Linked DNA regions of Sus scrofa. The protein of the gene in region 3 purifies or fractionates together with the protein of the main gene of each other region. This does not show direct contact. Links are inferred from orthologs where the notes say so. Each region holds a gene or a part of one and is shown on either strand. Other genes may lie near its edges.

Region 1 (3,517 bases), on a different chromosome or scaffold from region 3:
TTTGCAAACTTTTGCAACATTATCATTAGGGATTTAGGGTACCATTTTGAGAAGCTTGGTATAAGCATAAAATATCTTTGAAATGTTATGTTTTATCTCAAATTCATATAAATTTTGCTGCTTAATGCACTGTTTTGATATAATGTTTTAAATATTAATAGAGTAAAAAATGCCTCCTATTTATTCTGGTGTTTCAAATACCTCTGAGCACAATGCCCTCAGGTTATATGCATAAACCAATTTCAATAGGAACAGGTTTGTGAGAAAATTAACAAGTGAGCCTCGCAGAATCTAGACTGGACATGGTCCATATTATAGATAGAAGATTCAGTTAAAAGATACAGAAATAATCTTTAAATTCTTTGGCAGTTGTGAGAGAAGTATGTAGGGAGTTTGCTGTTATTACTGTACCTATACATCAGTGAAAGAATTAACAGATAGCTTTTTCCTACAATGAATAGCTACTATTATCTGATTCTTAATCACCTCTACTTTACTATCCCCTTCAGGCAGTAAGTTTGAGATAAAATGCTCACTCTTAACAGTGAGGAACTCAAGATCTACTTAGATCCAAAGGATGGCCTTTGTCTAAAACCCAGTATCTGTCAAGACAAGCCTGGTAGACATCATTTCACCCAGGAGAAAGAGATCATTAGATTTATTATACCCCGATTTAAACTGAAGTCTAAATTACAAGAGCAACAGCAACAAAAGTTTGTTTGAATTAAGGACCCAATTTACTTATACTATTCTCTAAGAAAAAAAAAAAAGGAAAAAGAAAAAAAATCTATTGGTTTAGAACGAATAGATTTAACTAAATTCTGTCAGCAAGACATGTTTAATAAATCTTGAAGATTTCTCATATTAACAGTTATATCCTAAAAACAACATTATTAGTGTATACGCTAAATAAATCATTATATATTAAACAAAAATCTTTTTTTCTTCCCTTTTTATAGCCGCACCTGAGGTGTATAGAAGTTCCCAGGCTAGGGGTCAAATCAGAGCTGCAGCTGAGGCCTACGCCATAGCCATGGCAACATGGGATCCTTAATCCACTGAGTGGGGCCAGGGATTCAACCTGCATCTGCTCGGACACTATGCCAGGTACTTAACCTACTAAGCCACAATGGGAACTCCTAAAAAGGAATCGCAACAGATAGAGAATATTTAAAAATTTCCTTGATAATTTTTTTTTTTTTTGCTTTTTAGAGTTGCACCCACAGCATGTGGAAGTTCCCAGGCTAGGGGTTGAATCAAAGCTACAGCTGCTGGCCTATGCCACAGCCACATCTGCAACCTACATCACAGCTCACATCAATGCCAGATCCTTAACCCACTGAGCAAGGACAGGGATCGAACCCACATCCTCATGGATCCTAGCTGGGTTCACTAACCGCTGAGCCACAAAGGGAACTCCTCCTCGATACTTCAAATATGCAAAGAAACAGTAACAAAATAATGCATATAAAGATTTGCCAAACTGTGAAATCTTATGAAAAAAAAAAAAAGAGTTCTTTTCAATGGTCAAACAATATTATCACTTCTAGACAGAATATCAGAAATGCCTGACAAAGCATGACTCTGCTAAATTTAAAGTTCTATTATAAAGAGACAGTTACATTAAACAGTAGCCCAGAGATTTGCCTATTTATCATCAACTAGAGAACCCTAAAGAACATACTCCAAATGTCTTAAAAAATGTAAAAGGCTTTCATAATTTCAGCTAAATCAAGGTAAAATATTTTGCAACTACAGATATTTAAAAGTATAAATGACAGGCTTTAAAATGTATAATTACCCTATCACTGAAAAGGCAGTTAACCTTTTCTGACTTAAATACTTTAAGAAAGAACTGTCCTACCTAGTAAATCATTTCTCACATGTATTTTTCTACAGCTAAAATTGAGGAATGGAACCAACCTTCATAGCTTGTTCAAGCTTAACAGACAAACTTGCGACAGCTTTCTGTGCACGTTCATACTCCTCACGCTGGCGTTTCAAAATCGGTGCTTTGGCTTCAACTTCTTTCACTATTTCATCTAGATACTTATTAATTCTTTTATTCTCTAGTTTCTCCAAAAGCAACTGATCTTGAGTTTCCACATAAGCGTTATATAGCTGAAAGAAGAGAGGTCATTTCAAATCTAAGCATAACAGAAGCATATAACTTAGAATTACACAAGATGGAAATGTTTACTAAATGTTCCACAGAACCAGGTACCAAGAAAGCCTTTCCCAGGATGATGTAATAATCATTACACGACTAAGAATAATTTTTTTGGAGAGTGTGCTTTGTTCTTAACTCAGAGAGATCTGAACACTTGTGCTGAGAGAAAAGAACAAGATTTAATACCATTCTTACCTCAGTCAATTTCATGCCAGGTTTCACTATCTTAGCTACAGCTGCTGCAGTAGGAGACATGGCTGCAAGCTCTTCTTCAGACAATATGGCTCCTGTGCCAACACATAGAAATGTAGTAAACTTTTGTAAAACTTCAAACTAAAGCCACTGTTTCCTACAAGTGAAATGCGACACCCACTGCACATTACGTATAAATTCCTACGAAAATTCAAGTCTGACAACAGTCATGTTCTAAAAATCATGCAGTAATTATTGTTAAAATGATTCTGAAAACTGACACACAATTATGTGTGATAAAATGGTACTTACATCTGATAACACAATAAAGATACAGGTAGAGTAATGATAAACTAAAAATAAATTCTAATATCATAACTTGTTGAGTTTCTCATATCACACTATCACAGCAGCGAAATACTATTAGTGAAGTGAAGTGAGAAGGAAGTCTCAGTATTTCAGGCCATTAGTAAGCATATACCAATCCATACCTTTACGTTTTGTGGCAGAAAGCAGGTCATTTGCATTTTCTAATTCTTTCTCCAATTTCCCTATTTTCTCAAGCATTTCTTTTTCCATTTGACCTTTAGATTCCTCTACCTCTAGAAGATGATCTTGTATTGCTTTATTGGCTAAAGACAATTTTAAAGACAGAATATCCAAATAAATAAATGAAATTTTGGAGTTTATAAGACACAGAATGGTCATTATTTTTCTCTTCAGCAGAAAATATTAAATTCTAGAGAGGCTGTGGTTGACAGTTATTATTCACTATCATGCCTGAAGTGTTCTGGACTGGTGAATTTATTTCCCTTTTGGATATCTCTTACATGGGGAAAATAAGGGAATAAAATGGTAAAAAAAAAAAGAAAGTGGCTCTAAATATCTCTGGTTTTAATCTAATCTTTAGAATACAGGAAATGACTAGAAAAGATGATAGCTTACAGTAAAAAAAGAATATAAAAAATCAAAGACTCCAAAATACACTATTTATAACTTAAAAAGTAATGCTTATTTATGGATTAAGACAGTAACCAAATTATAAACCTATATGTATTTATCAAAGTAAATGTTTCAAAAATGGAAGAAAAACTTCCTACTAGAAATCAGGATATATGTAAAGTTATTAGATGAAAGAAACAGAAAAACATTAGC
Region 2 (3,517 bases), on a different chromosome or scaffold from region 3:
AAAGTGTGTGGAAAGTAGGATAAAGAATTAGCCGGGGGAGGGGCCGCTGGGCAGAGAGAACAGATTTGAGCAGAGATCTGAAGAAGTAAAGGTACAAGCGCCAGGAAAGTATTCCAGGTAGAAGACACAGCAAGGAGACAGAACAGCAAGGAGGCCTTTGTGGCTGCAGTTCAGTGATTGGGTGTGGAAGAGGGACCAGATAGTGAGAGGAAGCTCAAGAGCAGGACTCTGTTGACTGGGTTGAGGCCTACAGAATTTTTTTCTAAGTGTGGTAGAAAGCCACTGGAGAATTTTGAGCAGGGGAGTGGCATAATCAACTCGTGTTTTTCCCAAGAATGACTTTGGCTACTGCATGGAAAATAGACTGCGGGGAGGGATGGTAAAGGTGGAAGCAGAGAGAGCAGGGAGGAGACTTAGCACAGTGGTTCTAAGGCTAATTTTCACAGTACTCAAAAGTAATGTAAAATATAGGAGCAGAAAAGATAAAAATGAAGAGGAAAGGAGCTCCCTTCATGGCTCAGCAGTTAATGAATCCAACTAGGATCCATGAGGATGCGGGTTCGATCCCTGGCCCTGCTCAGTGCGTTAAGGATCTGGCGTTGCTGTGAGCTGTGGTGTAGGTTGCAGATGCAGCTCAGATCTGGCGTTGCCATGGCTGTGGTATAGGCCAGCCACTACAGCTCTGATTCGACCTGTTGCCTGGGAACTTCCATGTGCCAAGGGTATGGCCCCAAAAAGAAAAAAAAATCAATCAGCAATATTTAAACCCACTGAGCTTTTTCTTTTTCTTTTTTTTAAAACCCACTAAGTTTTAAGCTTCAAGGTATCAAGGACTTTGCCCTGTATTCCCAGCACTTAGCACAGAGCCTGGCATATATAATAGGTACTCAGCCATTTGGTGAATAAATGAAATCTGTCCTTATTTGATCTGGAAAGAAAATTGCAAATGATGGCTAAAACTAAAATATACTGCTTCTGCCCCCACTTAATCCTATATTAAATGCAGGAGTTCCTGTCGTGGCTTAGCGGAAACAAATATGACTAGCATCCATGAGGATGTAGGTTCGATCCCTGGCCTCGCTCAGTGGGTTAAAGATCCAGCATTGCTGTGAGCTGTGATGTAGGCTGGCAGGTGTAGCTCCGATTCACCCCCTAGCCTGGGACCCTCCATATGCCAGGTGTGGCCCTAAAAGACCAAAAAATATGCAGACCACTGTCAGAGATAAAAGTTTACAATCCGGTAGTGTTGTAAAATTCTACTTTTAAGAACATTTACCTAAATAAAGGCTGAGAAGAGTTCCCGTCGTGGTTCAGTGGTTAATGAATCCGACTAGGAACCATGAGGTTGCGGGTTCGGTCCCTGCCCTTGCTCGGTGGGTTAACGATCGGCGTTGCCGTGAGCTGCAGTGTAGGTCGCAGACGAGGCTCGGATCCCGTGTTGTTGTGGCTCTGGTGTAGGCCAGTGGCTACAGCTCCAATTTGACTCCTAGTCTGGGAACCTCTATATGCCATGAGCATTTTTACCATTTCTTGGGAGCGATGTTTTTTGGCATACTTATCTAGAAATACATCCAAAAATTTTCTTATGATCACTTCGTTTTTTTGACTATCTAAGAGCTTAGATGTCTGTATATTATCTACATTTACTCTACTTGTCTTTTGGCCATTTTGCTATATTTCTGAGACTTTCCATTAAAGAATAAACAGGAAGACAAAGTCAAAATGAATCTTCTCCTTTGCTGAAGTTTTCAAGTTTGATAGCCATTTTATCTCATGGAAATTTGAGTGTTTAATATCACTGAATAGATCTTTGGTCAGAAATGGTGATGTGAATCATTACAAAATAAACTAAGATAAAATAAAATATAAAAAAAAAAGAAAGGGTGATGTGTTGGAGTTCTCTCGTGGCTCAGCGGATTACGGATCTGGCGTTGTCACTGCTGTGGTGCTGGTTTGACCCCTGGCCTGAGAATTTCCATATGCTGCAGCACAGCTGGGAAATAAAGAAGTTTAAACCTTGCCTTTTTTAAATGTGAGAATTTCAGATGTTTACTAGGATAAATTTAATCTTAAAAAAATGTTTTCCTCTTTTTTTTCCCCAGGAGGAAGAAGCAGTACTTTTTTGTCTCATAGCATTAGTAACCAGACTAATGTTCACCAATCTCTTATAAGCTCCTGGCTCAGCACTGATCCTGCCAGAGACCGTATTGAAATCACAAGCTTGCTTCCAAGCAGGACTTTGTCTGTGAACAGTTTGGATGTTTTAGGTCCTTGTCTTGTTTGTGGAACCGATGCAGAAGCAATTTATGTTACTAGACAACTTTTTTCATGAAGCAACTATAAGATTTCAGGTAAAACATACAGTTAGAACCTTTCAAATTCCAACTTCTATGCAAATTTTTATTGTTAGCAAATGTGAACTTTACAGGGGAAGCGTCCATAAACTATCGTTAATGTTTATGCCCTGTTTTGGCTTGTTAGTTGAATATTCCTCTAACAGTTGTTAGAGTCTAGTTGATAACCAATGGCAAAATAATTGAAACGTGTGGAAGAATGTCAGAGGGATCCTTGTGCTGGTAAATGTAGCACTTTCAAAACAATTCTGGACAGCTTGTGGAACCAGCTCTACATTTTTGATGATGTAGGGCTTAATAATGTCAAACCACCAGTGGGTTCCTAATCTTTTTTATCAGCAGTATGTGGGATATACCCCTCCCTGGTGGCATTAGCCCTTGTTAGTCTTTATTCCTTTTACTGCACATGTTTTCTGCAGTTCCTCCACATTTTATTTCCTTAGTGATTTCAATAAACTTTTTCAGAAAGATTTTTTTTTTTCTGTCTTTTGTTGTTTTAGGGCTGCACCTACGGCATATGGAAGTTCCCATGCTAGGGGTCTAATTGGAGCTGTAGCTGCCAGCCTACACCACAGCCATAGCAACACCAGGTCCAAGCTGCGTCTGCGACCTACACCACAGCTCATGGCAATGCCAGATCCTTAACCCACTGAGCAAGGCCAGGGATTGAACCCGCAACCTCATGGTTCCTAGTCAGATTCGTTAACCACTGAGCCACGACGGGAACTCCCCAGAAAGAATTTAATGGAGCAAAAATGACAAATTTTTTGTAGTGTTCAGATTTTTTTCAAGTTGAAAATGTTTTGACACATTCCTTTATTAGAATAGGTTTGAACAGAATTTTGTCAACTCCTTAGATTCATCTTCATTTTTCTTGAAAAGAAAAAAGACAAATACATTTATCCTAAGGATTTTGCTCTTTTTTTACACTGTATTTGAAAATTGCTGAACTGGACATTGTGCAATAAAATAGAATTTGACATTGATGAGTAAGCTGACTTCCAAACTGATATTTGATGGGTAATATGTATGAGACTAGTATGATGGGGTGGTAAGAATAAAGAGTTTTTCCATCTTTATCTTTATCCAAAATGTTAATGATACCCTAACATGCAGCATTTTAAGACAATTTAATGACATTGTGTTTCCAAAGTTTGTTAGAT
Region 3 (3,517 bases):
CCTTGCATTCTCACCAGTTCCACATCTCACACTTTTTTTACTTTTTGCCAGTTCATCAGAGTAGGTGGGAGATACGAGCTCACTGTTTCCATATCTCCCTGTCTATTCATAAGGTTGAACAAATTTTTCTATGTTTATTGACCATTTATGAATTACCTATTCAGATCTGTCAACTGTTTTTCTGTTGGATTTTATCTTTTCCTTATTGTATGAGAGCTCTTTGTATAGTAAGGAAATTAAGGGAGTTCTCTGATGGCCTAGTGGGTTGAGGCTCCTGCGTTTTCACCACTGTGGCTCTGGTTGCTGCTGTGCAGCGTAGGTTCAATCCCTGGCCCAGGAATTCCCACATACTGCCTGTGTGGCAAAAAAGAAAAAAAAATACAAAAAAACAAGAGAACCTGAAATAAACTTTGCAACTCTCATTTAAAAAAAAAAAAAAGGAATGAATATTTTCTCTGTCAAGTTTTTTTTTTAACCATTTTTGTTATTTTGGAGATTCCAGTGAATGAAAATAAAACATGAAAGTCAAGGAATAGATACAAATATTAGAGGTGGGGTACATTTACATATGATTAAAATATAAATCTGGAAATTTAAGACTCAATAATTTACTATAATTAATAAGGGAATTTTTTAAGTATCTAAATTCAAGACAAAGTTCCCCAAAAGTTATAACTATTTGTTACAGCTAGTTAGAAAAGGATTTAGCTCCCTAAAAAAGTCCCATTTAAATTACTGACCCAAGCTATAAGTTACCTAGGAATAAAATCAACCAAAGGTTTGAGGACCTCCAGAAAGAAAACTAGTATCTTATTGAAAGATGCAAATAAATAGATGTCACATGTTGCTGTATGAGAGGATTTGATACAAATATCAGTCATTCCAAAATTAACATAGAAATCTAATACTTTGGGATATTATTTCTGAATAGAAAATTCCCAAGTGAAGAATAAGTGAGAATGGCAAGAAAATTTGGAAAAGAACACTAGCTATGGGATACTTGGCTTAATAATAAAACAATATAGGGAGTTCCTTTGTGGCTCAGTAGGTTAAGGATCTGGCATTGTCATTGCTGTGGCACAGGTTTGAACCCTGGCCTAGGAACTTCTGCATGCTGTGTGCATGACCAAAACAACAACAGCAACAACCAAAAAAAAAAAAAAGTAAATAAAAAAATATTAACATACAACAAAACAGTATGGAATTGGTATGGGAACAGATAGAATCACTGAAATGTAGATGTCCATATCCCAAATATATATGAGAACTTAATAGATGACAGAGATGATCTTTCAGAGGAAGAGGGATAGTTTATTTACATGCACAGTATGGGCATAATTGACTTTCCATCTGGAAGAAAACAAAGCTAGATCTGTACCTCATGCCATGTATTAAAATCAATTCCAGGTGGAGCAGATATATGAATGTAAAAAAGAAATGCTGAAAGAAAATTTAGACAAGTAAAAATTAAAATACATTTGACAAAAAATAAATGAACTATTTGCTTAAAAAAAAAAAAATCCAACAGCAGGTTACTTATAAATGCTTTTTCTACCCTGTGTCTAATCAGTACTGCGAAAGGTTTTGTTACTCTTTGTACCATTTGCAAAAGCGAAAACCCAATGAATGTATTCAAGAACTGCTGTTTATGTTGAAGGAAATCTTACAGTTTATTTTGCTGAAGTTACAGAGGCCCTTCTTTTCTGGTCACCATAGACTGCCAAGAAAAACAGTAGTAAAATATAAAAAATAAGATTTTCATAACATTCACAGAGATTAATTGTTTTATCATAGTTATTTGCTTCCAAAGATAATATTCAGCCTTGAATATATATTCCAAGGGCAATATCCTTCTCATATTTTATTTTACTTTAGTCTCCTAAGACCCTTCATTTTCAGCTTATTTTTTATGTATATATAGTGTGTGTATATATATATACATATATTTATATATTCCTTCAAAAGTTGAGACAGTTTTAGCTTACCAGTGAGTACATGCTACAGAATATCCACAATAGATTTACAGAAAATGTAAAAATTTTTTCAGAGAGTTCTGGAAGAGAATCAAGAACATTATCATATAGTTCAAAAATTCCTTATCCTTGGAGACATTGATGGTAAGATATATTTTATTTTGCTTTGTTTGAGTTCTTTGTTTTCTTATAATAATTTTGTAGAAAGTTATCAGAACGGTGCACATAACTACTACGTATTTTATTTTACACTTTATAAATATCAGCCTATTTGAATATAACTCTTTACTTAGTTGTTAGAAAATAAAATTTGAATTTAATCCAATATCTGTTTTATATGATGGTTATTAACAATGAGATAGTGATTTAGTAGTACTATGGGAATACAATAAATGCCTTTGGGTAGTGTTTATATTTCTAATTTTGATTTTTATCCCTATTGTTGAATCTTTGCTTTGGTGGCTTGTAGGTTTGATGGATGAATTTAGCAAATGGCTTTCCAAGAGCAGAAACAATCTACCTGGACACCTTCTCCGCTTCATGACTCACCTCATTTTGTTTTTCCGCACTCTGGGACTGCAGACCAAAGTAAATAAAAATGAGCCGCATGCCTTTCCTGCAAGGCTGATGCTATATACTTGTCATCAGGAAAACATACTGCTTTTTTGTTGTTTTCAAGAAATGGTGATAAGGGTGCATATAGTCTCATATGGTCACTCACTGATCACTCACTGTGGTGACCCATTAGGGTTCTGATCTGTGGCAGCAGAATGCTGATGGGTTGGTTTTTGGTGAAGTTGTAATTCGAATCCTCATCAATAGTGAGCCCTAAATCAACCTCCTAAACTGACTGAACCAGACTAAATTCTCTATGAGATTTTAAACCTTTGTTTTGTTTTTTTCTTTTTCTTCTGTCCTAAATGATTGGTAACATTTTGCTCAGAGTACATGTAGAAGGCAGAACAATACATCGGTTGAAGGCCTGGATTTTGGAGTAAGGAGCCTAGGTTCACATTCTTGCTCAGCAGCTTCTAGCTGTGTAATTCTGGGTAAATGAAACCTCCACAAGTCTTAGTTTCTTCCTCTGAAAAATGCAAATAATAGTGACTACCGACAAAGGGTCTGGTAAGGTTAAATCAGGCTTTTAACTTTGAATGTAAACCTCGCTAAGTACTTTACTTGACATATAGTTATTGCTCAATGGTAAATATTAAAAATCATTATAGCAGAATTTTTATTAGATGTATTTGTTGGTATATGTAAGCAATTGTGTTTATAATGGAATTATATCTTTCTTTTTTTCCTATGAAGGAAGAAGTTTCCATTGAGGTTTTAAAGACATACATACAGGTAAACTTCAGAATGATAATATTTTAATATCCAGTGGCAGGAAAGTCATCAGAATCCATAAGAGATCTTTTAATTATCATAAGTACTTTCTTTTGAAATTTAAAATTAATTGTGTTTAGCAGCACAAATCTGTGTCTGTATGACTCTCTAAAATACATATGAAATTTTGAAATGAACTTTTTAAAAAGCACTGC
Region 4 (4,067 bases), about 49 Mb from region 3:
GTCAAATAGTAAACATTTAAGTTGTGGAGGCCATAAAGTCTCCGTTACAACTATGCAACGGTGACCTTGCAGTGTGAAAATAGCCATAGACAATACATAAACAAATAAGCATACTTGCACGTCAGCAAAACTTCACAGAAAAGGGAAATTTGAATTTCATGCAATTTTTACAAAACACAAAATACTACTCTTCCTTTGATTTTTTTTCCAACCATCCAAACATGTAAAACCCATTCTTAGCTTAGGAACTGGCTACACAAAAACAGGAAGTATCACCAGTTTGCCAAGCCTGGTTTAGTCTGGACTCTTCCAGTAGCTAGCTGGCTGTGGGAGTCCAGGCAATAAACTTTACATTACTGCCTAGGTAGAGGTATAATACCCTCCAGAAATCAATGAGACAATGAATATAAAAGCATTCAAATGTCAGGCTGCACTATACAAAAACAGTAGTAGAAGGCGGCAATGATTCTAAACATTTGCTTTTAAAAATTAGATTCCAGGCTGCACTGCACCAAAAATTGAAAGGAGGGGAAATGTCACTGGGGAGGCAGGGTGAGACGGCTACAAGAACTACATTTTTGAGTCAGACCATCCAGGGTCTACATCAGGGTCCCCATTTATTGGCTGTATGTCCTTCAGTATTTAAAACCTGATGAGCATAAACTTCTACATCTGTAAAACAAGGAAGATATCTCCTACCTCACATTATGAGACATTAGTAAGACAAGTAAATAATCCACCTAGTGCCGGGTACTTAGTAGGTGCTCAATAAAAAACGGCAGTCAGTTGCTGCCCAGGGTCAGAATACAGGTCCGAACAGTTCCTTGGGAGGATGTAACAAGGAGAAGGCGAAAGTGGGGAATTGGAGTCTATATGTCTTAGGACTGGAATCCTGATTTTCTGACTAACTAATGAATCTAAGTAGGGCTCACAAAGCCTTCCAGCTCCATCACTGGGTCCTACGAATTGTTTAACACCCCCAAACCAAACCAAGCTCCAGAGCAAAGACTGCACAAATAATACCCTAGACCATCACATGTGCTTTGCTGGTTACCGAAAAATCCTCACAAGTCGCGGCTTGAAGCGCCACTTAAAGTGTGACAGGCAGGTGAGGAAGAGGTGACACTCACCTGACTGAAGGGAGACAGGAAAAGCGCCGACTCGCCTGAAGAAAGCTCTGGCCCGACTACAGCTCGGCGACTGTGCCCGTGATCGCGGGTTTACACTTTAAATCTCGCGGGAGAGCCCGGGAGCCAATCATCGCTCCCGCCCTCTGACCCGGAAGCAGAGTCGGCGCGCGCCGCTGCAGCCCCCACCGGACGCCAGCTCCCCTCTAGCTGCTTCCAGGCGCAATCTGGTGCGTATCGCGCGTGAGCCCAAGGGACCGCCCCGCTCTGCTACCGGCTGCCCCGTGCCCCCACCTTATCCCTGAGAGTTCCTCCTCTCTCCAGGACCGTTCCCCACTACTCTTCCTTCAGACCTCAGGTTCGGGGAGGTGATAGCGGCGTCTCGCGGGATTGCCTGGATTTGGAAGAGGTGTCAGGGCTCTGCAGACACTTCTCTTGTTCCCTCCTTCCTCTGTCCCAGCAGTAGTAGAGGGGCAAGTCCAGCCTACCTTGTACAAAGAGAACTTGAGAACGTAATTAGACTGGGCGCTACTTTAATGAATCATTAGGAACTGAGTTTCCTGATCTGGGATCTTTTGCACTTCCCACATCTTACCTGCTTGTCACCCTTAACAAATGTTCAGCCTCCGATACCCACTCGTAAGGTTTATAGACTTCCCGAGGTGGAACTCATCTGATTCTCAGTAAACATGCATCAGGTATTTGACCTGTTTGTTATCGAGCCCAGCTGTTTTCAGGACAACCCCTACCATCCAGTAAAAAAAAAGGGGGGGGGGACCTTTTTAGAATCATTTGGGAATGCTACTTCCAGAATGCACCCCAGGTTTATAAATGGTTAGTTGTTTTGTGCCTGGTTTTATGAATATTATTCTTATATTTTTGCTCTCCTTCCTCCGGATTCTATATTTTGTATTTACTTATATCGTAGCACTTTTCACCCTGAATCATAAATAACCCTGGATTGTGAGCTCCTTCAAGGCAGGAGTCTGTGTTTTTCTTCTCTACTACTAGTGCTCAAAAGATAGGACATAAGAGGGGCCGTGACCCTGCACAACTGCTCCTTATGCATAAGAAATTTAACTAAGAAATGTAGCAGGGAACAGGTTAAGAACAGCCACAATCTTCAAGTTATTGGAGGAAGTGACATGCTTTCCTTTGGGTGGACCTGGTCTCAGTGCTTTGTCGAAAATAAGCCACAATGGAAAAAAATTTTTCTTTCTTAAACAATTTTTTAAAAAAGAAAGTCTTTCAAATTCTAGCTGTTCTTGGAGTTCCCGCCGTGGCTCAGTGGTTAACAAATCCGACTAGGAACTATGAGGTTGCAGGTTCTATCCCTGGCCTTGCTCAGTGGGTTAAGTATCTGGCGTTGCTGTGAGCTGTGGTGTAGGTCGCAGACGCGGCTAGGAACCCAAGTTGCAAAAGTCAAATTCTGGCTCCTCTTATGAGCTTGGCACGCTAGTTAACCTCCCCTATTTTTTCTTTCTTTTTTTTTTTTTTTTTTTTGTCTTTTTGCCATTTCTTGGGCTGCTCCCGCGGCATATGGAGGTTCCCAGGCTAGGGGTCCAATCGGAGCTATAGCTGCCAGCCTACGCCAGAGCCACAGCAACGCAGGATCCGAGCCGTGTCTGCAACCTACACCACAGCTCACGGCAACGCCAGATCGTTAACCCACTGAGCAAGGGCAGGGATCGAACCCGCAACCTCATCATTCCTAGTCGGTTTCGTTAACCACTGCGCCACGACGGGAACTCCAACCTCCCCTATTTTTATAAAATAGGAACCATAGGTAATACCTCCCTTTTAGGTTCGTACAAGTGTTAGACATGATAATGTCAGGAAATTACTTAACATGGCGCCTGCAAGGAGTGCTCCGTAAATGTCAACCATCATTAATTTTTAATGAATGTATATATTAATGTAGTTCTATCTTTAAGTACTGATTTTATCTTTTGAACAGTGTAAACAGAATTTAGTGGTGACACACTGCAAGTATTATTTAAAGTATTTAAGTAATTTTTTTAGCTATTTTTCGTCACATTATTATTTTGATTAATTTGTTGAAAATAGCACTTTGACCATTTCTGTCTGTGTTTGTGCTTAATCCACAGTTTCGTGACCTTTTCCGATAGACGGGTATTTTTATGCAAGTTTTGCCATACAGGATGAAGCAAGATCCCACAAGAAATGCTGCCTACACTGTGGATTGTGAAGATTATGTGCACGTGGTAGAATTCAATCCCTTTGAGAGTGGGGATTCAGGAAACCTGATTGCTTATGGTGGCAATAATTTTGTGGTCGTTGGCACATGTACATTTCAGGTTAGTGTATAAAACTGCAATGAATGACAGTGAAATGTTTCGCTGATAAAAGGACTTATACAGACTTCAGTAAACTGGCTAAACTTTGGAAGTATATTGAGTTCGAATGTAAAACAAAAATGGTATGAAGATATTCTCAGTAATATATGCCTGATATTTGTGCAAACAATAAAAAAGTAGTGAAAAAGAAGAATACAGTTGACCCTTGAACAACATGGGTTGAACTGCATAGTCCACCACTTATACATGGATTATTTTCAGGAGTAAAAACTAGGATACTACAGGATCTGCATTCGGTTAATCTGCTGATGTGGAGAAACTGCTGATAGGGAGAATCTACTGCAAGTTATACTAGGATTTTCAACTGCGTGGAGAGTTGGCATGCTAACCTCTGTGTTGTTCAGGGATAATGGAGATACACATACACACACAAACACACACGCTCCTCTTTGACTTCATGATTAGAAGTAGAATATTCTGGTAATCGAAGGATACGCTTCACTGAACATTGTTATCTACAGGGAAAATACTAATTAGAAACCCACCTTTTCCACATTCCACTTTGACATAGGAAACAAACTAATATGGAGAGTTTAAAAAATGATCCTCCAGGAGATTTTAT
Region 5 (3,517 bases), on a different chromosome or scaffold from region 3:
TAACAAAGTGATAGAAACTATGTCTACTACTGGGGTTCCTGGCCTATAGCTATCATTGAAGGAAATGCTAAGTATTAAAGTCCCTGAAAATAAAGATGTGACTTTTTTTTTTCTCCCTTTCCTAGTTTGCCACTGCCTGAATTCTATCCACAGAAGCCTTGGAGCTCTGTAGAACCAGGGTAAGAACCCCCAGTCTATCTCTCGTAGTGAACTAAGGGAAAGCACTAGAGTGTGGCCATAAATATGAGAGCCAGGATCTCAAGAACCTCAACAGGGAGAAGGGTAAATCAAATGCTGTAAATACCCACTCAGGGCCTGCCATGGGCCAACAGGCAGAATTATGGGATTTATGTAATTACTATTATATTCTTACATTACCACCTTTGAGTCATTTAAGATCATGCGGACTAAACCTTTTCTTAAAAAAAAAAAAGTAGTTTTTCGCTTTTAAAAATAGCAGTAGCTACCAGAGTTCCCTTGTGGCACAGCAGGTTAAGAATCTGATGCTGTCACTGAAGCAGCTTGGGTTGCTGTTGTAGCACCGGTTCAACTGCTGGCCTGGGAACTTCCACATGCAGTGGGCGTGGCAAAAAAAAAATAGCAGCAGCTACTGAAGGCTTGCTGCCAAGATGGTTCCACCCAGGCAGAAGGAGCATCAGTTCGAAGGATCAGTTTTGTAGCAAGTGAAGGCTACAAGAAGTAAACAGACTTTCTTACCCAAGGTCTTTTAAGGGCTTCTGGGTGGCAGAGCTGGGATTCGCTCTGGCTCCATGAGTCTGGAACTCTGGGTAGCTAGGACCGGGTGCCCTCTCTGCCAATGGAACTGTGGGCTGCTCTGATCTGGGCTCTCAGCCCTTCCTGCCATGTCTGAGAAGCCCCAGTACTAAGACTCTGTCTAGCATCGGCTCCACTCACCCCCTGAGGTCGGCGATGAGGATCTGCCCTCCGTTGCGCACATCGAAGATTTTGACGGACCTGTCTGATGAGCAGGTTGCCAGACGGGTGCCATAGTAGTCCATCTGGGCATCATGCTGCAAAGGGAGGAGAGCTGGGGCAGCCTGCAGGCTACGCGGATGGGTGTGGGGAGGGGTGGTCACCAAGACAGAAAGCCTAGTTTGGACCAGTCTACCTGACATTATTTGAACCTCAAGGAATCATCACTACCAGGCAAAAAGCTAGTAAGTCAACATTCTCACTTCTCTGAATGGCAATGTCTTTCTGAAAGGGCCAAGAAAAGCTACACCCAGCTGCTTTCAGACCCCTTACATCATGGAGAAAGTCCTCTGCAATCCCACTCTGCAGAGTGGGTATGGGAGAAAAGAAACTTGCCTGGCCTCCCTTGTCTTCCTTCTTCCCCCAGCCCCAATGTGTCCTGAGGCTCTGTGGGCTACCAGGGAGGTTCAGCTCAGCCTCAGAATCCAGGGCTAGTGCTGATCCAGAGGCACAGGCCTCTGCCTGCCTGTAGGCCCCAGTCAGGTGCTCCATGACACACATCTGTTCTGTACATGGGTTGGCTCCATTCAGACATTTAGCACCACTCCCACCACCCGCCCCGGATCTTTTGTGGACCCATGTTCCTGTGTTTCCACTTGACCTTTTCCCTAGCAGTGTACCCAAGATCCCAGATTCTTCACCCATGCCTTAAATGCTACTGGTCCCACCACTGATGAACGGACTTCACTGATGCTGTCTGGCCATCAAGACCCAGGGCCAGGCCCTGCCCACAGCTCCTTGTCCATCCAGGTGATGGTTCCTCTGAGCCACTCTGCCTGTTGGCCCTCCTGTTTGCTGACCTTGTCTATTCCAACAGATGGCACTTTCTTCAGCTATAGCACCTGGGGTTTCAGGGACTATCCGCTCTTGTGGTCATCAGGAGCAACTACATCCTTTAAGAGGGAAGCAATCATTCTGTCTGCATCAACATTCCTTCTGCTTCAACATTCCTTCTTCACCTCCTTACCAAAGGAAAACAGATTCTTCTGGGGAAGTCAACCCTCCACCACTTCAGGTCTTGGTTTTTTGGAAGGCAGGCAGAGCAGGGGTGAGGACAGATTTCTCTGCAAGTGTTCCTAAAGTACTGCTCCTGTAGGGTGCTACCACACACTTGGGAGGAAGCAGGGCACAGTACCTATGAGATTGGAGCCCTCTCTCCTTAGGTTACCATGTGCAACCTTGGAAAAATTTCCTAATCTCCTTGCACTTTAGTTTCCTTATCTTCAAATGGAGCTAATGATGGTATCTGCTTCAAGGTTTGTTATGAAGGTTAAAAGGGGTACTTAATGGACAGTATTTAACATGGGGTGTGATGTCCATGAGCAGGCAGACATTAGTCATCACACTTTGTCTCATCTGCCCCTCCACAGGAACCCACACAGAGAGGTGGCATATCCATTATTTTTCCCATTTTAGCTATGAGGAAATCAAGGCTGATTCAGACAAGTTAAGAGACTGGCTTGGGATCTGATTGGCTCTTCTTGCCCAAGGTGCCGAGCTGTCTCCAAGGAATGTGGTCTTACAGCCAGAGCACACACATGACTGTGTTCAGGGAACATACACAATTTTGAGGCCAGGCAATCTCCCGGACGCAAAAGCAACTGTAGGTGGACAGATGTAGGACAGGATGCCTGGCATGAAATGCTGTAGGCTGGCCGGACCTAGGTTTTGTTCAAAGGCTGCCTGAACTCCCTGGCCCTGCATGAAGCAGAGTCTGTGTCTTTGCTGCTGGAGACTTTAACCTCTGGACCTTCTCCCACACACCTGTCCTCCTGTACTAAGCCCTGTGCTTGCGTCTCAGCAAATACCCTGATTTAACAACTTATGGTTCAAAGGGCCTTGTATGGCTCACTGTCTGTGGTGGTCTGACCTGGCTCTGCCTCTGTATAGTCATCCTCCTCCTTTTTCTTCTTTTAACCCCCTTTCCAATGGGGCCAAGACGTAGCAGCAGGAGAAAGATAGGTTGGAACACTATTTCAAAACTCTGCATTCACTACCATCTCCTTCCAGAACATAGGACTAAGGCCTTGAGCTACAAACTGTTTCTAAGTTCCTCCTGCCTTGCCAACTCAGAGGGCACTGCCAGAGGACCCCTGAGGCCACGGCCTGGCTGGCAAAGGCTGCAAAGCAACACTGGGTTCATAAACAATGAACAGAAATGCCCATGTCCACAGCCCATGAGGAAGGGCTAAAGGAGTACTTACTATCATGTCCTCATGGGAAGTATCCACAGTGTTAATTACTGACACCTAGAACCAAAGATATTGAATGCAACCAGTTAGAATGCAGTCATCTCATTAAATTCACTGCTCATTTCTCAAGTCCTCCACTGCATCTGTTCATTCATTCATTCATTCAGTAAAGGGTCAGCGTAAGTGCCTTCATTGTGCCAGGCACTGTGCCAGGGACTGGAGACATGGACACAAATAAGAGGTACTTCTTGCCCCCATGAAGCTTGCACATAAGTAACCCTAATAGGGCATGAAAAATACTTTAATAGGGTTTCCCTGTGCCATAGCAGCCT

What was found.
Region 1: the proteins of NUP107 (region 3) and TPR fractionate together in Homo sapiens (co-fractionation; 4 studies listed by BioGRID and IntAct, with this or other methods). This does not show direct contact. The link is inferred for Sus scrofa from reciprocal best matches to the Homo sapiens genes NUP107 and TPR.
Region 2: the proteins of NUP107 (region 3) and NUP43 purify together in Homo sapiens (affinity purification with mass spectrometry; 8 studies listed by BioGRID and IntAct, counting the BioPlex papers as one, with this or other methods). This does not show direct contact. The link is inferred for Sus scrofa from reciprocal best matches to the Homo sapiens genes NUP107 and NUP43.
Region 4: the proteins of NUP107 (region 3) and NUP37 purify together in Homo sapiens (affinity purification with mass spectrometry; 7 studies listed by BioGRID and IntAct, with this or other methods). This does not show direct contact. The link is inferred for Sus scrofa from reciprocal best matches to the Homo sapiens genes NUP107 and NUP37.
Region 5: the proteins of NUP107 (region 3) and SEC13 purify together in Homo sapiens (affinity purification with mass spectrometry; 8 studies listed by BioGRID and IntAct, counting the BioPlex papers as one, with this or other methods). This does not show direct contact. The link is inferred for Sus scrofa from reciprocal best matches to the Homo sapiens genes NUP107 and SEC13.

Annotation. Positions count from the first base shown.
Region 1 is NC_010451.4:127,526,887-127,530,403, forward strand, and holds part of TPR (nucleoprotein TPR), read right to left. Parts: intron 2,995-3,517; coding exon 2,854-2,994; intron 2,458-2,853; coding exon 2,366-2,457; intron 2,122-2,365; coding exon 1,924-2,121; intron 1-1,923.
Region 2 is NC_010443.5:16,262,987-16,266,503, forward strand, and holds part of NUP43 (nucleoporin Nup43), read left to right. Parts: intron 1-2,102; coding exon 2,103-2,332; 3' UTR 2,333-3,517. UniProt on the Homo sapiens protein: Component of the Nup107-160 subcomplex of the nuclear pore complex (NPC). The Nup107-160 subcomplex is required for the assembly of a functional NPC.
Region 3 is NC_010447.5:33,027,654-33,031,170, forward strand, and holds part of NUP107 (nuclear pore complex protein Nup107), read left to right. Parts: intron 1-2,047; coding exon 2,048-2,117; intron 2,118-2,442; coding exon 2,443-2,561; intron 2,562-3,284; coding exon 3,285-3,323; intron 3,324-3,517. UniProt on the Homo sapiens protein: Plays a role in the nuclear pore complex (NPC) assembly and/or maintenance. Required for the assembly of peripheral proteins into the NPC. May anchor NUP62 to the NPC. Involved in nephrogenesis.
Region 4 is NC_010447.5:82,090,172-82,094,238, forward strand, and holds the start of NUP37 (nucleoporin Nup37), read left to right. Parts: upstream 1-1,267; 5' UTR 1,268-1,357; exon of another isoform or gene 1,358-1,775; intron 1,776-1,800; exon of another isoform or gene 1,801-1,825; intron 1,826-3,234; exon of another isoform or gene 3,235-3,235; 5' UTR 3,236-3,268; coding exon 3,269-3,445; intron 3,446-4,067. UniProt on the Homo sapiens protein: Component of the Nup107-160 subcomplex of the nuclear pore complex (NPC). The Nup107-160 subcomplex is required for the assembly of a functional NPC.
Region 5 is NC_010455.5:66,517,902-66,521,418, forward strand, and holds part of SEC13 (protein SEC13 homolog), read right to left. Parts: intron 3,243-3,517; coding exon 3,198-3,242; intron 1,032-3,197; coding exon 916-1,031; intron 1-915. UniProt on the Homo sapiens protein: Functions as a component of the nuclear pore complex (NPC) and the COPII coat. At the endoplasmic reticulum, SEC13 is involved in the biogenesis of COPII-coated vesicles.